3 linked regions of the Cricetulus griseus genome follow. The protein of the gene in region 2 interacts with the protein of the main gene of each other region in a pairwise test. Links are inferred from orthologs where the notes say so. Each region holds a gene or a part of one and is shown on either strand. Other genes may lie near its edges.

Region 1 (4,885 bases), on a different chromosome or scaffold from region 2:
CAGGGGCTACTTTATGGTCATGATCGTCATGATCCACCAACCAGTGTTTTCAAAATGTGGTCAGGGCACTGTAGGTGCCAGAAAACCTGAGGTGTTTGTTGACCAAAAAGAAAAAGAATCTATGTCCCACCTATTCATAACAGTTCTCTAAGAAGGTACTAGATAATGTTATTTTCCCAAACTTCAAGCTGCACGTGAAATGTAAGCTTCATTGATCCTGTACCCTGTGCTGTGCCACACAGACTGGTGTCCGTCCACACGTACTCTCTCCTGTGCCAAGAGAATGACCTAGTGTCTTAAGTATTCTCCTGGATATAGACATACCTTAATAGGTCTGTAGGGTTTTGGTCAATTTCCCATGTGTGTCTTTTCCACAAATGAGTATATCTTGAAGTGTGTGTGTGTGTGTGTGTGTGTGTGTGTGTGTGTGTGTGTGTGTATGTGTGTGAGAGAGAGAGAGAGAGAGAGAGAGAGAGAGAGAGAGAGAGAGAGAGAGAGGGCGTGCGTGCGTGTATGTGCATACATGCACATGACTATATATATATTTCCCCCTTTGTCCAGGAGTAAACTATGGCCTTGTATGAATTCAAGCTCCAGAGAGTACACTTGGTTAAAGATCTATTTGGAAAAAAAATGATCCAGATGATAAGATGCCCACAGTCTGAAAGGGCCATTCACAAAAAAGTCTGCCAAGCATTCTATAGCCTACAATTGTTTTTAACCGCTTCTTACACAGTTTACTTCTATGGGAACAAGAGTGTGACTTAGAAGAATAAAAATGAACTGCCCCAACAGAGATTATACTAACACCAAACATACATCTGCTGGATAATGATCAAATTGTGCTAGGGTAGAGCCAAAACTTCTGAAATCCCTGGAGGTAGAGGTGGGAATAAACTAGTTAAGTATTCATTACAACTGACCTTGAGTAATTTTATAGGAAAGATGACTTGAAGAATATAAAGCTTCATAAAAGTAAATACCCCTACTGCTTACAAATGCACTTCTTTGTTCCAATGTGCAGGATACACACCCTTGCAAGGAGAAATCAAGTCAATGCAAAGTACTTCAAGAGAATTAAACAAAAAGGGGTTAGCTGTATTAACATCATAGTCTGAAGAGCATAAAGGTTCTTTACCAAGTCCCCCATCTCCTGTTGCCTGCCATCCAGTCCCTATCTCCTTTGTGTACTGCTTGCCTCCATGTGTATCTCCCTTCACACACAGTGTGTGCACAAGGGCGTGTGCACACACGTCATAGATGACACTGCAGGACAAGCATTTGATTTGGTGTGGGAACAATTGAATTTATGACTACCCTATCCTCAAAAGCACCAAATGTCCCATATTAAGATTTTTAAATAGTAATCTTCCCTTTCACATTTAAAGAGCACTAATGTCCACAGTTTCACGTTTTAGACCAGCTAAAAGTGCATTACTCTTGTAACCCAGCCAATATGTAATTAATTCTACAAAGAAATAAAAAATCTTTCTAGGAAGGGACACAGGAAATGAAGTGTTTTCATTGTATGAAATGCATTGTGGACACACAAATCACCAGCACTATAAATAAATAAAAGTTGCATGCGTGCTTGCCTTACACCACATAGAAAACACTAGTACATTTGCACACCATGGCATTTTAGCCTGGGTTCCTGAAAAACACTGTGTAAATACAAGGGACTGTGAACGTGTGTGTGTGTGTGTGTGTGTGTGTGTGTGTGTGTGTGTGTGTGTGTGTGTGTATGTGTGTATCTGGTGTGTCAGGGAGAGGTTGGGAAGCACGAGGGACGGCACTTGCCTTTTGGCAGCTATTTAAGAAAATTCCTTTTCTCTCTCATTCATTCTTTCTAGCCTCAGTGTCTGGCAAGGTCCTTACAGTTACTCACTGGCTTTTCATTCTAAAGACAGCCGACATGCTCTTAGAGCTTCCTATGGTGTTATTTTTTTCCCACACACTTAAAAAAAATCAAACCATTCAATATATGTTTTGAAATTTTTTAAGAAAAGAAAATCATTGGCCTATTTCCTCACTTCAGAGACCCCTTACATATCTGGCTAAATGTGATCCTTTGTTATGCGTCCAAAAATATCTCCACCACATGATATTGGAAAATAATAAATTATTCGTATTCCAAGGATGTCACAGCTATTACCATTCATTTGCTTTACCTTAGTGAGTCGATGTCACACTCCTCTTACTGAGTCCTACACGCTTGCCTTTTTCTCTGCGAACACTCCATTAATAAATTTAAGGGCTGAAAAGAGGACACCAAGCGCCCTTCATGCACAATGGCACTCTCCAAGACTGAGACATCTCCAGCCACGGGAAAGTTAACCTTCCAGCAAGATGCCCACCCCAAATCGGCCAAGGAAGAAAGGTGACAGAGGGGCTGCGGAGCGCAACCTTTCATTTCTCCACCTCCAGAGAAAGGGAGGGCTTGGCAAGAGAGCGGAGTAGGAAGGTGGGCGAGTGGGAGACCGAAATGGGTGCCGGGGTGGGTGGGTGTGGGCGGGATGGGAAGATAGAGAGTTCGGGGAAGGTGGGGAGCTCAGCGCAGGGTTCGAGAGCAAGGCGGGGTTGGCGAGCGAGACGGGCGGGCGGGCGCGGTGGTCAGGGCGCGAGGGGGCCGGTCCTCACCATTGAACGCCCCTGCTTCCGCGGCCTCCTCCTCCTCGCCGTTTTCGGAGTCGGAGCGCATGGGCTCCTCAGCGAAGTTGACACCCTTACTGGGGGCGCCGCCCCCGACGGCGGCGCCCGCGTTCCCCCAGGTCCTGCCCTCATGGCCGAAGCAAGCGGCGCCCTTGCGCTCGTTCTCCTGCTGCAGCCGCGTGAAGTGCTGCAGCGCGAACTCCAGCAGGTCGGCCGGCTGGTGCCTCAGCACCTCCACCGTGAAGCCCTGCAGCAGCTCCGTGAGCCCCGCGGGGATCTCGATGCTCATCCTGCCTGTGCACGCCCCGGCGCCTGGGCGCCGCCCTCGCACCCTGTCCGCTGTCCGGTCTCAGGCTGCGCGGCCCCGAGCGAGCGCCCCCGGCGCTACCGGCTGCGAACGCGGCGCCCTGGGCCCCTGGCGCGGCTGCTCCGTGCGGCGGCGGCGGCGGCAGAGCGAGCACAGCCCGGGAGGGTTGGCAGCATCTCCAGCTCCTCCCGCTCCCTCTCCCGCCACCACTGCACCGCCCCACGCCCGGCGCCCCGCCCCCGCCCGCGCGCCCACGTGATCCCCGGAAACCATGGCAACCCGGCAGGCGGGTTCAGCGCCACTTGCTAAGTGGCCTCTGGGTGGAGGCAGCGGGAACCTAGGGCGTGAGGCCGACAGCTCTCAGAGCAGATCCTGCGCATCATTCTGCCCAAGCCCTCCCGGAGTTGGCGTCGTGCAATTTGTTCTGAAACTTCAGCCTCCACCTTGGTGGTGGCTTTTCTTCTCCTAGAAGCCAACAGTAAGAGAAATGTGCATGGTGTCTTTTGTTAAAGTCACACAGCTGTACTGGTTCTCTTTTGGATACAGGAAATATGGCTACTTATTTGTTACAACATTTTCTTTCACTAGGTTTTTTCCCGCTTTTCAGTCACCTGGCTGTGATGGTCAGCTTGCTGTGCAGATGTTCTGCCACGGCATGCTTGGTGCATTTCTTGCTAGTTGCTGAGACAAAGGCAACATTTATTTATTCAATTTTTATTAATTTGTTCGAGACCAGCCTGGTCTACAAGAGCTAGTTCCAGGACAACCTTCAAAGCCACAGAGAAACCCTGTCTCCAAAACACCAAAAAAATAAATTATTATTATCAAGCACCCCTCCCTCCTCTCCTCCCACTCCCTCCCCATCCCGTCTGCTCCTCGGAAAGGGTAGGGCCTCCCCTAGGAAGTCTACTAAGTCTGTCCCATCATCTAGTTGAGTCAGGACCAAAGCACCTCTTCAACCCCACCCCGTTTCTACGCTGGGCAAGGTGGCTCTCCATATAGAATGGGCTCCACTAAGTCAGTCTGTTTATGCATTAGTGTTAGGTCTTGGACCCATTGCCAGTGGCCTCATATATTGTCCCAGTCACACCATTGTCAACTATATTAAGGGAGTCTAGTTCAGTCTTACGTAGATACCCCATTTGTCAGACCTGAATAAGTGATCTCTCACTGGCTCGGGTCACCTGGTTTCCCCATCATGGTCTTGACTCCTTTGTTCATATTATCACTCCTCTCTCACTTTGATTGTACTCCAGGAGCTTGGCCCATTGGTTAGTTGTGGATTTCTGCATCTGCTTCCATCTGTTTCTGGAAGAGGATGCAAGCTCCTCTGGGGTTGTGGATTATAGGCTGGGTATCTTTTGCTTTATGTCTGGTATATTTGTCTTTCTGGTTTTGGGTTACCTCACTCAGGATGGTTTTTAGGATGCCATTGTTTCTTAACACTGAATAGTACTCCATTGTGTAAATGTACCACATTTTCTTTATCCATTCTTCAGTTGAGGGGCATGTAGGTTGTTTCCAGGTTTTGGCTATTACCAATAATGTTGCTATGAACATAGTTGAGCAATGTCCTTGTTTGGTGAGTGTGCATCCTTTGGGTATATGCCCAAGAGTGGTATTGCTGGGTCTTGAGGTAGGTTGAACCCTAATATTCTGAGAAATTGATATACTGATTTCTACAGTGGCTGTATAAGTTTGTACTCCCACCAGCAAAGGAGGAATGTTCCCCTTTATTCCACATCCTCTCAAGCATAAGCTGTCATTGTTGTTTTTGATGTTAGCAATTCTGATCAGTGTAAGATGGGATATCAGAGTGGTTTTGATTGGCATTTCCCTGATGACTAAGGATATTGAGCATTTCCTTAAGAGTCTTTCTGCCATTTGAGATTGTTCTGTTGAGAATTCTCTGTTTAGATCTATACC
Region 2 (4,886 bases):
TTAATCCCAGCACTTGGGAGGCAGAGGCAGGTGGATCTCTGTGAGTTCAAGACCAGCCTGGTCTACAAGAGCTAGTTCCAGGACAGCCTCCAAAGCCACAGAGAAACCCTGTCTCAACCCCCCCCCCAAAAAAATAGTAGTAGTAGTGGGTTGAACGTAGGGCCTTGAACATTCTATGCAAGTACTGTACCACTGAGTTGTCTCCAACTCTTATTTACTTTTATTTTGATATAGCTTCTAAGGCTATCCCAGGCAATCTCTTGCTTTAGCCACCCAAGTAGCCAGGTCAATAAGCCTCAAGCCTGTATGGCACTTCCGTTTAGTTACATTGTATTCTAATGTATACCAGAGACTACAACAGGCAATCTCAGACTGCCATAGCTTAGGACCTATGAAAAATGAGTTAAGTTTTCACTTTTATTTTTTAAGGCGGTGTCTCCTTTATAGCAGCCCAGGTTGGCTTCAAACTCAGGTCCTTCAGCCTCACAGTTCCTCTTTTGCTTGATAAAGTTATGAGTTGCTGTGCCTGTTTGATATTTTAAATTTTTTACATTTATGGTGTGTGCACACACACTCTTATGGAGGTCAGAGGACAACTTGTAGGAGTTAAGTTTTCCCCTTCCACCATGTAGGTCCCAGGAAAACAACTCAAGACTGGCATGCTTGGCAGCAAACATCTTTACCTGCTAGGCCATCTTGATGAACACAGATTTTATCTGTATTTTGATACAAGGTTCTGCTGTCACCCAATCCAGCCTTTAATTCCTGGGCTCAAACAATCCTGCCTCAGCCTCTTGAATCGCTGGTAGCACCAATATACACTATTATTCACAGTATGTTTTTATCATTTTAAATTAAGAAAGTATGGCTAGGGTTTAACTCCTGTGGAGGCAGCTTAAGAATGAATGAAGGCTGGACATGGTGATGCACGCCTTTAATCCCAGCACTTGGGAAGCAGAGACAAGCAAATCTCTATGAGTTTGAGGCCAGCCTGATCTACAGAAAGAGTTCTGGGTCAGCTGGAGCTACACAGAGAGACCCTTGTCTCAAAAGCTAAAACAAACAAAAGAATGTCTAAGTTGAAACATTCTGGGGTCCAAGAGATCTTTGGGTAGACAGATCTGGGTGTGAATTCTGCTGCATGATGTCATCTGTGTCAAACTCAGATGGCTCATTTGGACAAAAGTCATCAAAATAAGTCTGTCTACAGAGCCCATTTAAGTTAGCCCTCTTGGATGCCTGATAAACAGTAGCTGGATTTCATCCCAACAAAAACAGCTGGCCAACTCGGAGACTGATCTTTTTCTTGGACCCCTTTATCCTCTGTAGCTCTTAGTTTCTGCTGAATGTGTCTGATATGCTTGAAGCTTTTTCAGCACTATGTCCCCTCAGTTTTCAAAAGGCTACTGCAATATACACCCCACTGCCAGAACCATCTACCTCCTGGTGGGCCTCACCTGCCAAGGGGGATGGCCCTCCCCTTCTGCCTGGGCCCCTCCAAGCTCAAGTCCAAGACCTTTTTGGGCACTACCCACCTGCTCCTGTCATCAAGCCCTCAACTACAAGCACTTGCCTCTCCGTCCCCCGCCCATCAGTGACATGCCAGGCCTCTTTAGACTGCCCCGCTGTTTGAAAGGGGGGAGGGGCAGAAAGTTCTTGGGCTTCGGTGGCATTCTGGGGACTCAAACACTGAGAAGGGCAGAGCTGGTCACAGCCCCTCCCCCCTTTTGGTGGGTCTGACTATTTCTGGGTAACTGAAGGGGATCTGCTTTAGCTTAGAATTACACCACTTTAAGAGGTGAGAGCATTGGGAACAGGCACAAGGTCCTTCTGAAGGCATTTCAAATACAGAATCAGTTTCTTTACCTGGCTGGAAAAATTCAGCATGTTTGGGGTGGGGAAGGGGGGAGTAGAACACACCTCCCTTTGGATGAGTCCAGGGTATGCACAGTATCCATCTGTCCTCAACAAACCAAATCATTAGCTGTCACCTTTTGCTGGGTGTCGTTACCCTACCCTTGCAATTCCTTTCTGACCATCCCAATTCAAGTCGAATGAGCCCTTGCTAACACATTTCATTCTCAGCCTTGAACCAGGCAGAGCGAAACAGTCCCAGGGACTGGGTGAATGACAGAACTGCAGTTGTGAAACGACCATTTATTGAGGGGCCTTCCAAGGAACCCAGAGCTTAGGGCAGGCCAGGAGATGGGAGGGTGCTCTGCCGATTTCCCCCACCCGCAACCCAAGAAAGAGGACAGACGCAATGGCTCTGAGCGAGACCAGCTAGAACTTGGATCTGGAAGCGCAGAAGCAGCTCTCTAGGTTCATAAACAGTCTGCCCACCCCAGCCAGGGCCAGACGCTTACATGGAGGAGGCAGAGTGACAGGATGAGAGGGGCAGAGGGACCCAGAAAGATCTTGTTCCCCATGCCAAGTGACACAGAAAGGGGAAAACAATGCAGGAGGTGGTCCTGGGAAACGCTCATGGGGCAAGGGGGCTTGGAGATGGGAGAATCGAGCAGGGATAGGAGAAAGATGGCGGGGGCTGGAGGGGGAGGGGTGTGGTCACCAAGTAGCTAAGGTCCCTGCAGAGTGGACCCCACAGCACTCCCGAGATTGGCAGGAGGCTGGATCAGGGTCAGGCATTGGGGCGCTGTGTGGAAAAGGTGAGTGACGAAGTGTGGGGGGATTAGAATATGGGGAAAGGGACTAGGAGAGGAGGGGGTGGGGTGGTGACAGGGCCCCATCTGGGGCCCCGGCGGTCATGCATGCAATGGTTGGCAGTGACAGCTGGGTGGGGGTGCACGGCCTTTAACGTGGGGGATGGTCGGCCATGGGCACGGGAGCCCTACCAGGGGCAAGGTTCCTCTGCGGTGCTCGGACCCCAGCGTGGACAGGCAGCAGGCAGCAGGCAGGGGTGCAGGCGGACAGGATGGGGGGGCACATGGGGGAGGGGCCATGCAGCGATGGCCAGAGCGAGGGCAGGCCGCAGCAGCCGGGACTAGGGTGACGGCCGGGAACTCACCGCTCTCCTGCTCGCTGCCCTTCTTGGCGGCGGCGGCGTTGCCCATCGCGGCGGCGTCGCGGCCGGGACCGGTCCCGGAGCTGCGGCGCGGCGGGTGCTAAGGCGGCCGGCGTCCCCGGAGCGTGCTGGGCAGCGGAGGCGGCGGCCCCTGGGGCTGGCTGCGCTGGCTGCGGCGCCACGACCCCCGCCCAGCCCCTGCTTCCCGCGTCTCTCTGCGCCCGCCCGCGGGGGAGCCTCAGCCCAAGTCCTCTGTCCGTGACGCCCCCGCACCCCGCCGCCCATTGGTTCAGGCCTCCCTGACAGACAGCCTCGCGCCGTTGTCCATTGGCCCTCCGAAACCTTCCCGCGCTACCATAGGCTCCCGGATGCTTGACGCGAGCTGCAGACGCTCAGCCACTCACGGGCTCGCGAGGCCGTAGTCGGGCGGTCGGATGCATGTGATTGGCCGAGAAGCCCAACAGGGCTTGGGGCTCGCCCTGCGAGGCCGCCGATTGGCTGAGGCGCGCGGCCTCAGTCAGTGTCAATCCCAGGGTGAGAGGGCGGGGTAGCTGCGCAGGCTGCGGCCCGGGGGGGCAGGCGTGCGGGCGGGGCGGCGGCTGGAGGGTAGCCGGGCGGCAGACGCTGCAAGGTGCGGGAGGCGGCCCCAGCGGACGCCGGTGCGGCACCGTGAGCCCTGCAGTCTCCCGCCCTGCCCAGTGCGGCAGCGGCCACGGGCCAGCGGAGGTTGACGCCACGGCGGGCCGGCGCAGAGGCTTGTCCACCTGCCAGCGGGGGAGGGGCCGACTGGCGCCGCGGGTCAGAGGTCGCCGGGCGCCGTTCGGCGTCATTCATAAGGCCTGACGCTGGGCGGCCGTGACCCGGCCAGCTCGGAGTTCTCCTTGTTTGCTCTAGCCACAGCCGGAGCTGCAAGAGGATGCTGGATCCAAAAGTGAGGGCAGGCTGGGAGGAGACTCTTAATGTCCCGTTTACTGTGGCCCAGCCTTAGGCCCCTGAAAAGTAATAACGAGGACACTGGCCAAGTACATGACTTCTCGTTCCCAGCACATTGGAACTGTCACACTCCCATTTGATGGAGGAGGAATGGTGAGACTGGTTCCTTGCTCTAGTCCATTTGCCTGGACATCGCTATCTGGAACCTGCCCTCTGGGGACAGGCAGGGAGCCATTCTCGTTCCTTCTGGATGCCCATCTTTAAATTTTGTTTTCATGCAATGCAGGGGTTGAACACAATGCCTACCAGCTGCTAAGCAAGCATTGTTCCTTGCCCAGGGTACTCTTTCAAGTCTGTGCTGCCAGAACAGGGTCAGTTTCCCACTGTGCCACTGACATCAGGGGCCTGAGCACTCTGCTGGAGGGGTCTCCTACACACTAGTTGGTGTTCAGAACCCCCACCCTAACACACTGGATGCTGGTATACTTCCATCTTCCTGCTGCCTGGAGCAACATAAATCATCTCCAGACTGTTAAATGTACTCTGGGAAACAAAATTATCCCCACCCCCACCAGAGAACCTCTGCAGTAGAGCATGGCCAGGGTGGAAGGTGCTGAGGGGACAATGGGCTAGCTCTCCCTGATGATAAAGGGTAGCTGGCCCTGAGCAACATAAACCCATAGATTCAATGCAGTACTCAGCAGTTCATACCCAACTTTCTAAGCCAGCAACTGTATGCACTCCTGCTACTAGATCAGCTACAGTCCTACTCTCCCTTCCAGAGAGTAGGGCTCCTCTGGATTATGGGAGCTGGCTGAATAGCCAAATGCTCCATCTCTGATTTGGGGAGTTACACCATAGCTAAGTGAAAAATTATCTAAATTGTGGCTGTGTGTGCCCTTGGCTCACAATGTTGCTCTATGCCTGTGGG
Region 3 (4,871 bases), on a different chromosome or scaffold from region 2:
AACTTGAGTCAGTCAGTCCAAGGGCAGAAAAGACCTATTGCCACTGCTTGTCTTTGTCATGTTTTGTTTTTTTGTTTGAGATGGTCTTATGTAACCCAGGCTAGCTTGGACTCACCATGTAGCAGAGGCTGGCACTGAACTCTGATCCTGCTACCTCCATCTCCCAAGTGCTGGGTATCAAGCATTCACCATGCCTGACTCCAGACTGCCTGTCTAATGCGGCCTTCATGTTCTGGGATTAGAAGCATGGCTTTGAAGGAAAGGATACCTGTTATGGGATTGTGAAGTCAGAGCAGTTCCTGCTTTTGTTGTTGTCCTGAAATTTATCATTCATTCATTCATTCTTCACAACTTTGCAATAAGCACCCAGCCAACACACTGGACCCTGCTTCTCCACCATTTAACATCCAGCACTTCTCTGTGGGGTTAAGGACCATATTCAGGAATGCACAGCTATTTGTAATCACAGGTCTACCTAGCCTAGGGCCTCTACACTGAGTACCTTAGTGAGGTATTCAACTGTCAGTTCACAGCAGCACTGAGGGCTTGGGTTTGTGCCAAGTCTGTATGGGCGGTGCTAGAGAAGATCTTAATTAATACTGGGTAATTACCAGGTGGTGCTTAACCATCTCCAATACTCTTCAGTTCTCACATCAACAGCTAATCAGTTGCTGGGTGGTTCTGGCAGGGAGAAGACTTTATTCTCACTGGGTCTTTGGCCAGCACCGAGGTTGTGGCTGGATATCCCAGGAAGGGTATCTTCTTACGTTCTCTTCAAGTTTGGTGACAGGAGGAAGCAAGTTGGGTAATAGCCTGGCCTCTCCAGTTCACCTCTGCCCTCTTCCCAGAGGCAAAAGGCAACAGTGCCTGAGGTCTGCTCAGCTTTATTAAATAATGTGGCCCAGGGCCCAGATTAGGGAGTGGGGAGGAAAGAGGTGAAGAACGGGGTGGGAAGTGTCCAAAAGAAAGAACAAGGCCAAAGTTCTGTCTCGCTCCGGGCCGATTCCCTTTTCTCACTGTCCACATTTGGTTGCGCAAGCTCTTTCAGGGTTATTTCTCTGCCTGAAGCTTCCAAATGACTTATCTCGTTGAAACTTTTACTTCCTACAAAGCCTTACCATTTTGACATCTCATGACCTCATTCTAGACTCCTTAGGACCTTGTATTCAGTTGCACTGTTCTACCTGTCAGTCAAGGTGGTCCTGGCTTGCCCAGGTCTTTGTTCTCGCAGTACCGCGTTAGGAGACGACTTTCTTCCAGTTCGTCCTCTGGACGAGTCCCATTCAATTCTGGGGGTTAGCATTAACGTCATTCCTTAGAGTGAACCCTCTGCTCCTCCACTAGAGCAGAAATCAAGGTGAGGTGGCCCTGTGTCACATCAGTGTCCCTGGCGCGGTCGAGAGGCGCTCAGCATGCTCTGAAAGCGTAAGTGAAAGGTCTTTGTGACCAGGGGAGACGCACTAACCAGCCCGCCTCGCAGCTGGGTCACTCTTTCCTCATCCCCGGGGCCTCCCGCACCTTGACCATGGACTGCTCCAAGAGCGGACGGCCCAGCGGCGCACGCGCACTGTGGGCCATCTCTCGGCGGGGACGCGCACGCCCGAGGCCGCGTGCGTCACAACCCGGGCGCCTGCCGCGCCCGTCCAGCTCGCCAGCCGTCGGCCGCGGCGGCGGCGGCGGCGGCGGCGGCGGCGGCGGCTGCGGCGGCTGCGGCCGGGTGACAGCAGCGGCGGCGCCAGGCTGGCTTGGTAGCGGAAGGGTCGCGCGGCCGGCACAACAAACGCAGAACCGGCCGAAACAAGGCGCGACGCGAGAAAGGCCGAGGCGGGCCGCGCGGGAGACGGCGGGCGCCGAGTGACAGGCCGGCGTGAGGGAGTGCGCAGGTTGCAGCCGCCGGCGGCCCCTAGCCCGCCGGTCCCCTCGGCCGTCGCAGGCATGAGCCACATCCAGATCCCGCCGGGGCTCACGGAGCTGCTGCAGGGCTACACTGTGGAGGTGCTGCGGCAGCAGCCGCCCGACCTCCTCGACTTCGCGGTGGAGTACTTCACACGCCTGCGCGAGGCCCGCGCCCAGGAGCCAAGCACGCACATCACCGCCACGACGACCTTTCACACGCCGGAGTCTAGCGCGGTCGCCACCGAGGAGGACAAGGAGAGCGACTCCGACTCGGACGACGGGGATCTGGAAGGTAGGCGGGCGGGGCAAGGCCGAGTTGCGAGGTGGGCACCGAGCCGAGGGTCCAGGGTGGGACCCGAGGGCCGCGCGGCGGAGCCGAGGGCTCGGCGCCCCGCCTTGCCCTGGGCCGAGACCCGGGAGCGCTCCAGCCGAGCTGCTGAGGTTTCCCGGCGTGTGCCGGTTCCAAATTGAGCTCCGCGGTTCTCTGCGCCCGAGCGTTCACAGAGAGTGATTTGTCAGATTCAGCCTTGAATGAAGCGTGCGCGTTCTTTGGTCCGCGTGGTGGCGCGGAGCTTAAGTCGGTCCCGCCAGAAGCTGCTTTGCCTTTGCTTTAGACCCCATAGCCTGCTTCCTTTCCGAAGGCTAGAGCATCCGCACTCGGCAACTTGTCCTGAATAAGCAGCATGATAACTTTATTTGCAAAGATTTAGGTTTTGGAAGAGTTACTGCTGAAAACCATTTTTTTTTAAGACTAGGTCAGTAGCCTTGATTAAACAGAAGCTCAGTAGGTAGCTCAGGCTGCCCTCGAACTTGTGACATCTTAGATGCCTCTGCCTCAATGAAAACATTTCAGACAAACACACGAGAAGGCAGATAAGCTGAACCCCTTCCTTAATGCTGTCACTCACACTCAACAGTTGAACCAACCCCCTCAATGCTGTTATATTCAACAGTTGTCAGTATTTTTTTTTAACCTTTTCCCACCCTCCCCTTGCTTAAGTATTTAAAGGAAATTTCAGTTAGGTCATTCCATACATGGTCGGTTAATTATGCATTTCCTTTTCTTAAAATATAATCCCTTAAGAATTTAGAAATTTAAATTTAAATTTAAATGAGTTAAAACACTTGAATAAAATTGGTGAGCATAATACCTTGTTTAGGGTGTTGGTTGCAGGAAAGTATACAAGTAGCATTCTGTTCATATGATTTAAGTGGGAATGGCAAGGAGCAATTTCATTTACTTGGTTGCTTCCACTTGTGCTTTTTGTTTGTTTGTTTGTTTTTTGTTTTTCGAGAAAGGGTTTCTCTGTGGAGCCTATCCTGGAACTAGCCCTTGTAGACCAGGCTGGCCTCAAACTCACAGAGATCCACTTGCCTCTGCCTCCCGAGTGCTGGGATTAAAGGCATGTGCCACCAACGCCCAGCCCACTTGTGCTTTTTTTTAACTTAATAGAATTAGCCTGCTTTTTTAAATTTTTTTATTTATTTTAATTACTCTTCTCTCTTTCTCTTGTTTTTTTGAGACAAGGGCTCACAATGTCACCTTGGATGGCCTGCCACTAACTGTGTAGACCAAGTTGGCCTTGACCTCATGAAACCTGCCTGCCTCTGTCTCCTGAGTGGTGCTGGGATTAAAAATGTCCATCCTATGCCCAACACCTCTGGTTTGTCTTTGATGGTGTGTGTGTGTGTGTGTGTGTGTGTGTGTGTGTGTGTGTGTGTGTGTGTGTGTGTGTGTGTGTGTGTGTGTGTGTGTGTGTGTGTGTGTGTGTGTGTGTGTGTGCGTGCGTGCGTGTGTGTGCGTGCGTGCGCGCGCGTGCCACATGTGTATATTTACTGTAGTTCCCAGCTCTCAGAGGTCAGAATACATCAGATCCCCTGGAGCTGGAGTTACAGGCAGTTGTGAGCTGTCTGATGTGGGTGCAGAAAATGCACCCAGGTCCTTTGCAAGATGAGCCGCACTCAGCTGGGCAATGGTGGCACTCATCTTTAATTCCAGCTCTTGGGAGGCAGAGACAAATGGATCTCTATGAGTTCGAGGCCAGCCTGGTCTACTGATTTGAGTTCCAGGATAGGCTCCAAAACAATACAGAGAAACCCTGTCTCAAACAAAACAAAAAAACAACAACAAAAAAAGGAGCAACAGGACTCTTGCCTGCCAAGGTAGTTCCCAACTCCTTGACCTCCTTTTGAACAAAACAAACATGGTTTTTTTGTTTTGTTTTGTTTTGAGACAGGGTTTCTCTGTGGCTTTGGAGGCTGTCCTGGAAGTAGCTCTTGTAGACCAGGCTGGTCTTGAACTCACAGAGATCCACCTGCCTCTGCCTCTGCCTCTGCCTCCCGAGTGCTGGGATTAAAGGCGTTTAACACCATGACCCAGCTAAAGTGGGTTTACTTTGGTTTTGTTTTTTTGTTTTTCGAGACAGGGTTTCTCTGTATTGCTCTGGCTGCCCAGAAACTCACTCTGTAGACTAGGTTGCCCTTGAACTCAAAGAGATCCAGTTGCCACTGCCTTCTAAGTCCCACCATGCATAGTTTACTAGGGTGGTTATTAATGAAAAATAGAACACACACACACTCTCTCTCTCTCTCTCTCTCTCTCTCTCTCTCTCACACACACACACACACACACATACACGGGTGTGAATAAGTTGAAACACCAAATTGGACTGTAAAATGTCCAGCCTGTAAGGAAGTTATTTTAGTAGATCCTCAACAGGTTAAATATTGAATTACTCTAGAGTGGATATGTAGTCAAAAGATCTGAAAGTGAGTGGTCACATACTTGCATAATTAGCTGTTCATTGTAGTGTTATTCACAGTAGTGAAAATTCAAATGGATGAAGTGTCCACAAATAAAACAGTATGTGCATAAACCCACATACAGTGGAATGTTATTTGATCTTAAAAAAGAAATGGAATTCTGATACAGGCTACCGATACAGATGATGTTACAACATTGAAAACAGACTAAA

The links. The genes of interacting proteins can lie anywhere in the genome.
Region 1: the proteins of Prkaca (region 2) and Prkar2b interact in binary tests that used the Homo sapiens proteins (3 or more experiments, as listed by UniProt). The link is inferred for Cricetulus griseus from reciprocal best matches to the Homo sapiens genes PRKACA and PRKAR2B.
Region 3: the proteins of Prkaca (region 2) and Prkar2a interact in a protein complementation assay, tested with the Homo sapiens proteins (2 studies listed by BioGRID). The link is inferred for Cricetulus griseus from reciprocal best matches to the Homo sapiens genes PRKACA and PRKAR2A.

Annotation. Positions count from the first base shown.
Region 1 is NC_048598.1:169,643,933-169,648,817, forward strand, and holds the start of Prkar2b (cAMP-dependent protein kinase type II-beta regulatory subunit), read right to left. Parts: upstream 3,172-4,885; 5' UTR 2,942-3,171; coding exon 2,641-2,941; intron 1-2,640. UniProt on the Homo sapiens protein: Regulatory subunit of the cAMP-dependent protein kinases involved in cAMP signaling in cells. Type II regulatory chains mediate membrane association by binding to anchoring proteins, including the MAP2 kinase.
Region 2 is NC_048596.1:160,442,891-160,447,776, forward strand, and holds the start of Prkaca (cAMP-dependent protein kinase catalytic subunit alpha), read right to left. Parts: upstream 3,238-4,886; 5' UTR 3,072-3,237; coding exon 3,026-3,071; intron 1-3,025.
Region 3 is NC_048597.1:216,865,667-216,870,537, forward strand, and holds the start of Prkar2a (cAMP-dependent protein kinase type II-alpha regulatory subunit), read left to right. Parts: upstream 1-1,700; 5' UTR 1,701-1,935; coding exon 1,936-2,188; intron 2,189-4,871. UniProt on the Homo sapiens protein: Regulatory subunit of the cAMP-dependent protein kinases involved in cAMP signaling in cells. Type II regulatory chains mediate membrane association by binding to anchoring proteins, including the MAP2 kinase.